Linked DNA regions of Coturnix japonica. The protein of the gene in region 2 interacts with the protein of the main gene of each other region in a pairwise test. Links are inferred from orthologs where the notes say so. Each region holds a gene or a part of one and is shown on either strand. Other genes may lie near its edges.

Region 1 (6,341 bases), on a different chromosome or scaffold from region 2:
CCTCCAGGGATGGGGCACCGCAGCTCTGGGCAGCTGTGCTGGGGTCTCGCCGCACTCTGAATAAGGAATTTCCTCCTCACGTCCAACCTAAATCTCCTGTTCTAGTTCAGTAGCACTCCCCTTGTCCTGTCACTGTCTGCCCAGGTACAAAGCCAGTGTTCCTCCTGTTTATAAGCTCCCTTTTCATGCAGAACAGAAAATTTCTGTTGTTTGCAATGGGAGGCCAACGAAACTGTCTTTTGCTGCTGCTGTAAATTGCCAGCTGAGCAATTGTAGCTCGCCTGTTTGTCTTGTGTGAATAAGCCTAAATTGAAAGTGCTTGAAATGCATTATCGTCTTGAAGTGTTATCGGAAAACTGGCACATAATGTCTGTGCACTGAACGCTCTGCTTTATGCAGCAACAGCAGCACATTCCTCCCATACAGCCCTGCGGATGTAAAGGACAGCCAGAAGCAGACCAGCTCTGGGCAGGCTCTGCTGCATTGGTGCAGATACCACCAGCAGTGACAGAGCAGCACTTGGTGGTCCTGGTGCAGATGAATGAGCGATAAATAGCCGTGGTGTGTCTGTGTGTGTTAAGGAAGAACTCCAAATGTGTTACTACGTGGCACCCCTTACTCCTCCCTGCTTCTCTCTCCAATTAAACACAGGTTCATAAAATGGAAGTTGTGTTGGTGGTTGCACATTGTCATGGCTTTGCACTATTGAAGCCGGAGATGTTTGACTATGTTGACTATATAGTTTAGTAGCAATGTAATTCCTTATTTTTGGCTCATGTTTATACAAAGCATTGATGTTTAAGTGCTGATCCTGGCTTTTCTCGGGCCTCTGTAGGCACAAGCCTGCCTTGAATGAAGTGGGGATGCTGGGTGCTTGTTGCCATGGCCATGCATCAGCTTGGAAACACTATTTAGCCACTACTAGTAGCTGCTGAGAGCTGCCTGCAGCTTTGTGGTGTGTGTATGTGTGTGTCTGCTCTTTGCCTTTTGTGGTACATGTTAAAGTTACAAATACCTACTGAATTTTTAGGGGAAAGGTGTGAAAGGAAGTTGAGGTCTCAGCATAACAGAATTGTGATTTGGGCACCTGATAGATGATAATTACAGTGTTACTGAAAATGTTGACTGGAAACCCCTGGCTCCAGTCTTGGAGCCTCCCTGCTTTACTGCTGGATGCTGAAGTGCAGCAGGAGGTCCTGCTTTGATGCCCTACAGAACACAGCATTCCTCTTTAGCAGCTGTGCCTTTTGTCCCTCCAGTTTCTGCCCCCTGAGAAGCTGCACCTCCAGCAGTTTTTGTTCAGAATCCCCTACTCCAGGAACTGTTCCTATCAGATTTTTGTCTGTGTTTTCATCACTAATTTTCCTCTTGCACTCACTGATGTGAGCACAGCAGCCCTTCAGATTCCCATGCAGCCCCTCCTGCTTTGAGCCCCTCCGGTGTGTGCTGCTGTGTTCCCCAGCCACGTCCTGCTGTGCTCACCTCCTCCTTGGGAGTGATGTCTGAGAGCTGGTTGGGAGAGGTCGCATTGTCACCCCTGCACAATCTGTTATCACGGGATATCGGCCGGCAGTGACTCAGCTCCCCATTCTTTGCTCGCTGCAGGAGGGCTGGGACAGCAGAAAGCTGGTGGGCAGCGATGCTTTCACATCAGGTTGGGACTGGAATTGCAGGGCTGTCCCCCACGGAGAAACATCCGTTGATGTCTTCTGGATGTAAGCAACCGGATCGATATTACCATGTGCTAAGAGCACTCATGGCTTTGTTTTGCTCTGTGATGTTCCTATCTTGGTAGTGCTGAATGTCGTGTTTAAAAGATTTGGAAAAATACCATTTTTGAGGGACTGATTTCCAGCCTAACAGCAACACAGTGGCATTCCTCCAGCAGCAGCTTCCTGTGGCCCACAGGGAGCCCCGAGGAGCTGTGACCCCACTGACACTTTTCCTCTCCTCTTTCTGCTTGCAGCTCGCTCTGACCAGATCCAGCTCCCTGGGGGACTGCTCCCAGCCACAGAGGTACGGCGATGCCCCACCAGCTGTGCTCACACAGCCCAGCCCCGGGTGGGATGGATCACTCAAGGGGGAAGTAGGGTAGAGGGGCTCAGGAATGGAATCATAGAAAGATAAGATATCCCAGTTGGAAGGGACCCACAAGGAGCAGCGAGCCCCACACAGCCCCATCTGAACCCAAAGTCTGAGGTTGGTGTCCCGGCTCTCCCTGAGCACGGCAGCTCAGGGCTGTGCCGTCTGCCCTGGGAGCTGTATTGCACCCACTGCCCTCTGTGGCACAGCCTTTCCCTGCTGTACAACCCTGGTAATTCTGAGCGTTTTTCTTGCAGACACTTCATTTCTATATTGAAAGAAGATAAGGAGACGTTTGGGTTTGAAATCCAGGTAAGACTTACGTGGCAAATTGATTCATTTAAAGCTATAATACTCACATCCTCCAAACTAGATTAATGCTGGATGGGGTAGAGAAAGAAACCTGTGAGTCCCTTGTTAAACAGGAGTGCTTAAGAAGCAGTACAGAAATGGGATGTGCTACTGAGGAGTTCTCACAGACACAAATGAGAGCCTGGTCCCACGGCAAGTTGGAGAGCTGACCATAGGAGACACCTCAGGTCCAAAGTGAGCAATGGGAACGCCTTCCTTCCTCCTCAGGCGATCGTGTTTTCAGAGATATTTTTATATAAAACAAGAGAGATCCAAACCCTCTTTTATTTCTAGAAAAGCTGCTGTATGAGATGGCACCGCTGTGCCCACGGCGCTGTGCAGAGGGACCTGCTGGCTTTGGTGAAAGGAGTGCTGTGGGGAAAGCCCAGCTTGTTCAGAGTTGATTCTGTGACTGATGGTTTTGTAAGTGTTCAGCTCAGGAACACTTTGAAAGCTTTCAGAAGGGAAGATAATTGAGTCAATTATCCGGCTTTTGTATAAACCGCTGGGCAGATTTTCATTATATGTGACATTCTGATTAGAATTAATTGCTCTTGGTGTATTTCTTCCTGAATGTACCTTCAGTGTGAGCATTTCACTAGAAAGTCCAGGCTGTGACATGACAGTATCTGTTTGGTACCAAGCATAAGCCACTATTTGGAAGTTGCAGTTTCATTCTTGCTATAATTTGAACACGGGCAAACCAGAATATGAGGATGTGAAATTCAAGGTCTGCCATCTGCAAGGAGCTCATCAGAGCTACAGCGATGGCTGAACACAGAGACTCTTGTGTGCTGCTTGTTCCGGTACTGGTACAAGCTGCTTGTACTAGTACTCCCCACTCATTAAATGGATTCTGGTGGTGAGATGGACACGGGGTGTCTCTGTCCATGCCCAGGTGTTTGCACATCAGCTGCTCCAAGTCATGTCTTTCCTGGCATTGTGGCCACCTAAAGCACAGTTATCCAGCCCAAAGTGACAGCCTGATTTTTTTCCATGGTCTATGAAGAGAAGAAGGCATGTGGTGGAAGAATCCCATCCTCCTGGTTAGAAATGGAGCTCTTAGGGCCACCAGTCACTTGCTGGGGACATCTGCCTCTTTGGGTGGCTCTGGCAGAGTTGCTGAGCTGGTGGACAGACGTCTCAGCTAGGAATGGTGAATCCCGCCGCTCAAGATGGTCCAAACAGAAAAACAGGCATATCCTACTGCCTCGAATATGCAGTGGTTTATCCTTCAGAACCCTCATCACAGAGTCACAGAATGGTTGGGTTGGAAGGGACCTCAAGGATCATGAAGCTCCACCCCCCTGCCACATGCAGAGCCACCAGCCTCCCCATTTAATACCAGCCCAGGCTGCCCAGGGCCCCATCCAGCCTGGCCTTGAACACCTCCAGGGATGGGGCATCACATCATGTGCTGTTCTTAGTTTAGCTGAAAGCTTTTCTGGTGGTTTTAAGACTGAAATCACCACGTTGGTGTGATTTGCCCTAATAAACTCTGAAGTCATGATAGAATTCATCTCTGTCAGTGTTGACTGAGGAATGTGGGAACCTATCACATATGTAAGGTAGGTTTGACAGTCGTGGGTTTTCAGGAACTTCAGCTTCAGTCTTAAATGTCTGCGTGGCAGAGGATGTGGCCGAATACTGATATTTGCATGCAACCCAAAATACATTTCCTGTCATTGCAAAATCTGCTCAGGTCGTATCTCTTAGTTTAGCACTTTTCTAAATGAATGTCTGAGTTGATAACAGGACGATGGATTTTACAGGCGTTGTAAAGATACAACCTGCTCAACACAGCCTTCTCCTTTTAAAAAAGCAGTGTGAAATCAGAATAGATCATATGACAGTATTGTAAATATTGCTTGTTGTCTTCAATGTCAGCAGCACTTCTTTTTCGCTATTTACAGACACTTAGATTTCCAAACCAAACCGATTACTCCCTGGAGGTATGCACTTGTGTCTGCAAAATCCAAGAGGAAAGTCCTGCCCATTTTTCTGGCCTTCAAATTGGTAATGACTTGTTTTCTTTCCTATCTGTGGGTTGCTTTTCTCCATGGTAGTTTTGTTTTATAGAATGTGGAAGGGATGCGTATGCTGAAGATGCTCACTTTAGCCTCTGCTTATCCTTACAGGTGATATTCTTGCCAATGTCAACGGAGTGAACACTGATGGTTTTAGTCACAAGCAAATTGTAGACTTGATAAAGTCTTCAGGGAACTATTTAAGGTAGGCATCTGCCCTTCACAGTTGAGTCTGACACTGTCCTACTGGAAGCCATCAAATCTTGTGCTAAGCAGCAGTGCCACACTCACAGACACGCAGTGCTGTGATATGCATCTCTTGCCCATGCTCATCCCATAGCAAGTGCTGAATCCATCTGTTGAGGGGAAGTGGTGGCACATCTGGACCCCCAGTGTCCCATGTGCATCCCCTCCATGAGGACCACATAGCACCACGTGCTGCTGTGGGGCCACTACTACCCAGTGCTGGCACCCAAAGCCCCCTCTTCTTTCCAGGCTGGAGACTGTCAACGGGGCCCTGTTCCTGAGGAAGACAGAGCTGGAGACCAAGCTGCATCTGCTGAAGGTAACACAGTGAACCACTGCGCTGCTGTCAAATGCAGAGTGCTGCTGTGAGTTGGCTGTTTGTGGGGGTGGCCATGAGGTGAGGTAGGGGCCGGGGGACCATGTGTCCCTGGTGCTGGTGCTGCCAGTCCCAGTGCCTCCCTGGGGGATGCTGCAGGGGCTGGGTGCCACTGCTGTGTGTGGGGATGATGTCAGCACCCCCTCACTGTGGGCACTGCAGCATCGCTCTGGCTGCAGCACCAGCCTGCACATGAGGTTGTCATGCCACAACCACAGGGTCCTGACTCCCCATCACATCTCTGGGAGCCACACGTCTTCAGCTCTGGGACTGCAAAGGGTCTTTGTGAGCCCCTGGGCATTTTCTGATAGTATCCAAGGGCTCATCCTGCCAGTGGGTGCTGAGCTTCTCCAGATCTTAACCTGGCCTGATTTAGGGAAGAAAAAATGTTGGTCACATGACATAGGATTGTTTTTCATTAGATCAAATGATGAAAATTAGGCAAAAAAAAAATCATTTTTATAATTTTGACCTCCTCTTAAGACAATTTTTGCCTTTTCTTAAACTTGGTCAGACTGAGAATTGATGAGTGCTGTAAGTAAACAGCGAGCTAAGCCAGCATTTGGAGGATGTCAAAGCATGACGTGTAGACACTTTGGAGTATTCCTTACCTGATGGAGAGCTTTTCCTTATAGCAGCACTGAGCCAAGGTGACCTGCAGGAATGGGGTACTTCAAACTGGATTCTGATCTGGCTGGAATAAACCTCATCATAAATGTTCAGGCTTGCCAGAGCTTTGCAGCAGGGATGGGATTTGCTGTCTGTGTGCATCTGGGGTCAACGCCTGTGTGAGCAGCACTGAGCGGCTGCCCCTCCTTGTATGGTGCAGAGAACTCAGGAAGACAGAAGCTGCTGTGAAACACCCAGCTTTCCTGTTCAGATAGCAGTGGTTTCCCAGAAGTGCCAGGCTTCAGCCAGGAGAGCTTTCACTCTTGTGTGAAGTTGGGTGTGGGCCTGGCCCTGAGTGTCGGCACTAATGTCTGGTGTGTGGCACAGGGCTGTGCCCCATGTCAGTGCCAGTGAGGTCTGATGGGATGGGAGAAACCACCCTGCCAAGTGGCTGTGCTTTTGGCTGGGGCCAAGGGATGGCAAAGAGCCCCAGGGCTGCTGCCCTGCTGGTGCTTTAGCCCAGAGCCGTGGTGTTTTGATTGGTGTTGCTGGAATGTGGAACAGAGAAAAATGTGCAAGGAACAGCAATATTGTCCACGCAAGCTTTGCCTGGGCAGTTTGCATGGATAGCTGTGTAACTTACCAGGCTG
Region 2 (6,497 bases):
GCCGTGGTGTTTGTGGGGCAGAGGAGTGGGGCCACATCCTGATGGCAGCCATCCTTGGTGCAGTCCTGCCTGGGGTCAGGGGCTCACAATGGCCTTCCCTACCCAGCACTGAGGGGCTCATGGCTGTAGGATGTGGCAGGGCAGCACCAGCCTGGTGCCATGGGACTGCAGCCTCCCCCAGCTCCAGCACCCCATGGCTGGGGAGGGCACCCCAAGCCCGCTACAACGAGGGCCAGGAGCGCTGCCACTGCCCTGGGGCTGCCCTGTGCCTCCAGCACCCCACAACTGCCAGCCTTCTCCTCCAGGATGGGACACCTCAAGTGCTTCAGGACACGAGTGCTGGGACCCAGAAGCCCGTCCCCAACATGGGGATGCTGGGTTCCCCTTGGCCAGGCTCTTATCTCTCCCACTGGCTGCAGCTCACTGCTGCCCAGGACTGGAAGCTGCTCAGTGGGAGCTCAGTGGGGGGATGCCGGGCAAGCACTGGGCTGCTAAGGTGGGAGGGGAGGGCGATGTGCACAGGTGACACTTCTCATCTCACAGCCAACCCCAGGACTGTGTGCAAGGGAGTCCCAGCTGCAGCCTGGAGCTGTCTGGAAGCGAGGTGGTGATGGCACTGAGATACCCTTGCTCCCTCCCTCCCCCCACGGTAAAGAAACTGCAAAGCTGAAGCTGGGTCCTGGCACCAGGGCCGTGCTGAGCCCCAGCCCCGCAGCCCTGCGGATGGAGGTATGGTGCTGCCAGGGGCATGGTGGTCTTGCCAGGCTGCTAGTGCCTCTTGGTGGAGGATACCTTCTTCTTCCTGGCAGCCAGCATCTCGTAGAATGGGTCCCGGCTGATGGCTGCCCTGGTGGGGAAGCAGAGAGTGTCAGCCAGCAGCTGTACCCCACGGGAAGCCCTTTCCCCCCATAACATGGCTCCCATGATGTGCTGCCACCCACCCTGACAGCAGGGGATGGCCCGCAAAGCACTCACTTGATGCACTTGATCCACTCCTCCTTCTCCTCAGGTGTGGGGGCTGAGATGCGGTACACGGTGTGGTTCCCCTCCACTACCCGCCCGTCTGCCTCCGTTTTGCACGCTTTGATCACCTGGTCCTTGTTGTCAGGGATGTAGAGCTCAAAGCAGTTCTGCAGGGAGGAACCCCTTCAGACACAGCCCCCACACCAAGTGCAGTGGGGCACCCTGGGCTGGGGGAGGATGGTGCAGAGCAGTGGGGCTGCACACCCAGCACAGCAGGATGGGGCCATGCTGTGACATCACCCCACAGCTGTGTCCTGCCACCACAGTGGGGCCCTCTGGCTTTCCCTATCCCACCCTCCAGCCTTGCAGGATCCTGCCGGGCACTCACGGGTTTCTTGGAGTCCTCCACCTCACGGATGCTCAGGTTCTCCAAGGGGATGATGCCACGTGGCTCTTTATCCTGATGGGGCCAAGCAGAGCTTGTCATTACAGACACCTCCAACCAGTGCCCCATAGGAAGGGCTGAGTGCTCCCAGCACTCTGTGCTACGTCTGCATCCCACACGGCCATGGGACCCCCGAGGGTCCCCAGCCCCCATGTAAATCACTGACCGTCGTGTATTCGAAGTAGTAAAGGCAGTTGTCGGTCAGGATGAACCAGCGCCGCTTCCACGTCTTCACCCTTCCTCCTGGGAGCAGAGAGAGGCGGTTGGGGGCAGCCCTGGTGCTGCTGCATGGCACAGCATGGCACGGCACGGCACGGCAGTGCTGCAGCCCAGGCGGACGCACACAGACAAGCAGATGCAGGCAGCCCGCAGCGCAGAGCAGCAGGCAGCACACAGCACGCCGGCAGGGCGAGAGCATGAGCGGAAAGCAGACGGATGAGGATGGAGGCAGAGGGAGGTGGGAGGGCAGGGATGGGAGCACTGCCGTGCCCGCTTACAAGCACTGATGTGCGGCAGAAGGAGCTGCAGCTCCAGCCCTGCAGCACAGCCCGATGCCAAGGCAAAGCAGAGCTCGGTGCTGCAGCATGCGAACAGTGGCTGGAGGGAGCTCTACACCCAGCACTGCCATTGCACATTGCTCCCCCCCAGGCTCAGAGTGCTGCAGTGCTGGGCCTGGCTCTGCCCCCGCACCCCCACACGCTCCAAGCACCAGCTGCTCTGCTCAGTGCTGCTGTATGGGTGCCCAGGCCATGCTGCCCACAAAGAAGCAATGTGTGCAACGAGGGGAATGTGCTCATTTCCTCTCTCCCTGTCCGGCTCTGCAGGGAGATCCCTGCCTCATATCCCCCCCCATCCCACCCCACTGCCCACCCATTAACCCAGCCACAGTCAGTGCCCGCTCCTGGGAAAGGCTGCACACCCCATTCCCTGCCCCACAGCCAGGCAGGGCCGGCATTTCCCAGCAAAGCCCCCCTGCTCCTGCTCACCTTGAGCCGAGCCCACCCCACAACCCAAGGAGACTTGATGCCCTCCAGCCCCCACCAAGCCCTCATTGCAGGCTACAGCCTCACCAGGTGACAACATGGCAGGGCTCTGGAGGAGGAACCGTGTGGCATTGAGAGCCAGCACAGCCCTGAGGCTGCCCAGAGTGTGCCCACATGCTGAGCCAGGGCAGCACTTGTGCCCAGCACCAGCACAGCCATGAGCTGCAGCACTGCACAGCGCCCTGCACCCAGCCAGCTGCAGGTCCTTCCTGAATGCCCTGAAACACCACAATCCAAGCCCCATCCCTCACGGTACTGGAGGCCACGACCCTCTGCGGATGGGTCTGAGGACACACCAGTACCAATTGTCCCTATGATGGGACCGAGGGCAGCAGAGGGAACCAGGACACCTCGGGGAGCATTCGGCATCGGAGGGACCAGCAGCCACGTCCCTGCCCTGGTGGCTGCGGGTGCGGGGCTGTCCCCTGCAGGCAAGGTCCCCCCGGGCGGTGCGGTGGTTAGCAGCAGCAGCAATGAGACTAATCGCCAGCGATTAAAAACGAAAAAGAAACGAAGCCCCCAGAGGCATGAGCAGAGCAGGGGATAAAAGGGGTACAGGGGATAGGGGTACGTACCTCCTGGAGTTGGGGGACAAGGAAAGGAAGAGCCAAAATCATGGAAACATACAAATGAGGGAGAAAAGAAAATTAAAACAAAAAGGAAAAAATAAAATAAATAAAATAAAAAAAAAAGAGGAAATCCCGAAGAACCCCCCTCACCCCGCACAGAGCCGTGTGTGTCAGCGGGACAGGGCTGCAGATGGGGAGCTTTGAGGGGATGGGCCACGGCACCGCTCTGCTACACTATCGGTGTCCTTGGCTCTGAGCAGCCCCCACCCTCATGCTATGGGACCCTTCTACCAGCAGAGCTCCGGGCTCTATGGGGACACAAAGGCAGGGGTATAGGGTTCTTCATGGCCCTTCACACCCCCACCCCACAGCTAGGGAACACCTTGTTCAGTGCCCAGGCAGGGCTCTGTGTTGGTCATTGCAAGGAAAGGGATAAGGTCCTGATCCCATCTCGCAGGGGTGGCAACAGAGCAAAAACTCCCCCCAGTGAGAGGACAGAGCCCCAACCTCAGCAAGAGCCCAGGGAAAGGCCCTGCAGCCCCTGCTCCTGCCAGCACCCCCCCTCCTCAACCCGGGCAGAGGTCCCCAGGAGGTGTCGAGATGAGAAGCTGCAGGAGCCAGGGTGTGGGGCAGGGTGTGGGGCAGGGTGTGGGGCAGGGTGTGGGGCAGGGCAGGCTCGTGTCTGCGAGTGCCGGGCTGTGCAGCAGGGATGCCATGCACGCTGCCTGCATGTGGAGCCGGGATGCGGAGGTGATAATGCTGTGGGAAGGTGAGGCAGGGACAGCTCTGAGGCATGGAGGGGGACACGCAGCCCGGGGGCAGCTCGCCATTCACTCCTTGGGGCTCTGATGGGACCCTGCTGTGTCCCAGCGCTGTGCAGAGCACCCCCAGCTCTGTGATCTGACACCAGAGCCAGGTACCAGCTCAGCACAGCAGCCTCCAGGCAGAATCCCACTGGGAGCCCACGTGGCTGCAGCAAAGGGCCTCTCCAATAGCAGCTCTGCTCCTGCTGCTCAATGCGAGGCCGATGGAGGGACAGAGGTACGGACACTGTCCATGCGGGCTGTGCTCATGGCTGCAGCCCCTCATCTCTTGGCAGGGCTGTGCTCCACAGAGCCACGTGCAGGCAGTCTGTGGGCATCATACCCATGGCTCAGCCCAGACCCTGGGGCAGAGCACACCCTGCCCAGGCTGCACCCATCTGGTTGCCAGCACTTACCCAGCTTCAGCAGCCAGCCCTCCCGGTCAGGGTTGAAGAAGGTGTGTGTGAGGTCATTGCCATCATCCTCTGGGATTTTGAAGGGTTCATTCTTGATGCTCTCATAGAGATTCTGGTACAACCACACACGGTGTCACCTCTGTGAGCCCGCTGTGCCCCAGCCCTGAATCCTTGCATCCCATCCCTTACCCGCAGCAGCTCCTCAGGCAGGTCCCCCCCATCGTTGATGCCACGGTTCATGGCGATGAATCGCTCTGCTGTGGGTTTGTCCTTGACGTTGGGGTTGTGCAGGCTGGTGTTCAGCATGATGATAGCGAAGGAGAGCACATAGCAGGTGTCTGCGGGGACAGAGAGGACAGTCAGGTGCAAGGCAGGGCACAGAGCAGGGCACAGGGCTGGAGCTGTGCTCACCTGTGGACTGGAAGACGCCAGGGTTGCACTGGCAGTACCGCTGTGCGAAGGCCTCCATCATCCGATCGATCTTCTGTGCCTCTCCCGGCAGCCGAAAGCTCCACAGGAACTGCCTGAGGACAGCAGGCACAGCACTGCTTTGGTTGCATCCTCCAGCCCTCAGGGCCCTGCAGGGCACACAGCTCACAGCCCAGCCCAGCCCCACTCAGCCCCCGGCTCACCGCAATGCCTGGACGAGGTTGAGGTCCGTGAACTCATGCAGCTCCACGAAGGCGTGCAGGACTTGGATGTTAAACTCGTCCCTGCAGAAACAAAGCCAGAGCACGAGGTGTGTGTGATCAGCCCGTCCTGTGACTGCCGCATGGCCCCCTGCCCCGCTCTGCTCTCTGCACTCAGGATAGGGAACCTATGGCTATGGGCCATCCTATGGCCAGGTTTGCACGCAGCAGCCTTTCCAAGAGCCCAGCCACAGACCCTGGCACTCAGCAAGGGGCTGGCGCAGCCACTTGAAGACCCAGAGCCTGATGTCCTGCTGGGGGCCCTGGAGCCAGCCCAGCCCAGCAGCAACCTGCAAGGGTTGCACCATCTCCTCCTGCACAGGGACCGAGTTGCTCCAGGCCTTGCGTACCTCTCACCCAGGTAGTCTCCAATGGCTGTCTTGTTGAGGCCCTCTCCCTTGTAGAGGAACTGAGCAATATCCTCACACGTGTTCTTCAGCAAGTCGTTCTCAATCAGGAACTGGATGCCCTGAAGCAAAGCAAGAGGCATTGATTCGGGTCACGCTTCCAACCTTTATGCTATTCCCTTCTCCTGGCTCTGCTCGGCTCAGTACCCAGACCATGGTATGCAGCACCCCCTGCAGAGCCTGATGCCAGCCCCCAGTACCTTCTTGGGATCCATGTTGAACTTCTTCCTGCCCATTGCCACCTGCTTGTTCCTCTGCATGTTTTTCCTGCAGGACATAAAACAGCTCTGAGCGTCAAAAAGAAAGTAATAGAAAGGTTTAAGTTGGAAAGGACATGAAAAATCACCCAGTTCCATTCCAGGCTGGAGTTGCTCCCCCCCCACCAGATCTAGCTACCCAGTGCCCCATGCAGCCTGGCCTTGGGCTCCCCCAGGGATGGGGCACCCACAACCTGTGCTAAAGAACTGCCCAGAGAAGTTCAGGAGCCCTGGATTCCTCCTCCCAGCCTCTTGTCCTGTGTGGATGGGATCAAGAGCAAAGCTCCTCAACCCCTGACAGGCTCCACAGCACCAAACTGGGCACAACCTGCATGAGGCAAACACAGCACCTGGCACTCAGCTCCCCTCCTGCTTCACTCTGATGCTGCCAGGCCCTGAGTATGGAGCTGACCTGGGTTTGCACTGTGCAGACCACCCCAGCAGCCTCCTTTTGCCTGTGGGGAGGCAGCCTGGCATTGCATTGGGGCTCTGGGGACAATCTGAGGGCAATTGGAAGTGACACAGCAAGTCAGCTCCCACCAGGACCCCCTAATCCCATGCTGGCACTGCCTGTGCTGGCCCAGAATAACAAAGTCTGTCCGTCTCTGTGGCCAGACAGGGGATGAGCCTTGGAAAAACAGACTTCTGGAGGAACAATTCAGTCTGGGATCCTGCAACTGAACTGAGGAATTAAGAGTGTCTGGGAAAGCCAGGAGCAGCAGCACCCACGGGACAGGCCAGCAGCACAGCACGGCGCTCACCTCTCCTCCGTGGAGCCCAGGTTCTCGATCTCATTCGTCACTTCTGCGATCTCATCTTTCAGCCTCTGAGTGGAGAGAGCACACAATGAGCCAAGGGTGAATGCAGGGCACCCCACAGACTGAGCTGGGATTGTGACAGCCCTA

What was found. The genes of interacting proteins can lie anywhere in the genome.
Region 1: the proteins of CYTH1 (region 2) and CYTIP interact in binary tests that used the Homo sapiens proteins (3 or more experiments, as listed by UniProt). The link is inferred for Coturnix japonica from reciprocal best matches to the Homo sapiens genes CYTH1 and CYTIP.

The regions. Positions count from the first base shown.
Region 1 is NC_029522.1:29,845,825-29,852,165, forward strand, and holds part of CYTIP (cytohesin-interacting protein), read left to right. Parts: intron 1-1,966; coding exon 1,967-2,016; intron 2,017-2,339; coding exon 2,340-2,394; intron 2,395-4,346; coding exon 4,347-4,449; intron 4,450-4,571; coding exon 4,572-4,665; intron 4,666-4,955; coding exon 4,956-5,025; intron 5,026-6,341. UniProt on the Homo sapiens protein: By its binding to cytohesin-1 (CYTH1), it modifies activation of ARFs by CYTH1 and its precise function may be to sequester CYTH1 in the cytoplasm.
Region 2 is NC_029533.1:4,590,609-4,597,105, forward strand, and holds part of CYTH1 (cytohesin-1), read right to left. Parts: intron 6,419-6,497; coding exon 6,354-6,418; intron 5,603-6,353; coding exon 5,536-5,602; intron 5,398-5,535; coding exon 5,279-5,397; intron 4,953-5,278; coding exon 4,872-4,952; intron 4,764-4,871; coding exon 4,651-4,763; intron 4,578-4,650; coding exon 4,429-4,577; intron 4,352-4,428; coding exon 4,240-4,351; coding exon of another isoform or gene 4,239-4,239; intron 1,654-4,238; coding exon of another isoform or gene 1,652-1,653; coding exon 1,575-1,651; intron 1,424-1,574; coding exon 1,352-1,423; intron 1,131-1,351; coding exon 976-1,130; intron 848-975; coding exon 769-847; 3' UTR 1-768. UniProt on the Homo sapiens protein: Promotes guanine-nucleotide exchange on ARF1, ARF5 and ARF6. Promotes the activation of ARF factors through replacement of GDP with GTP.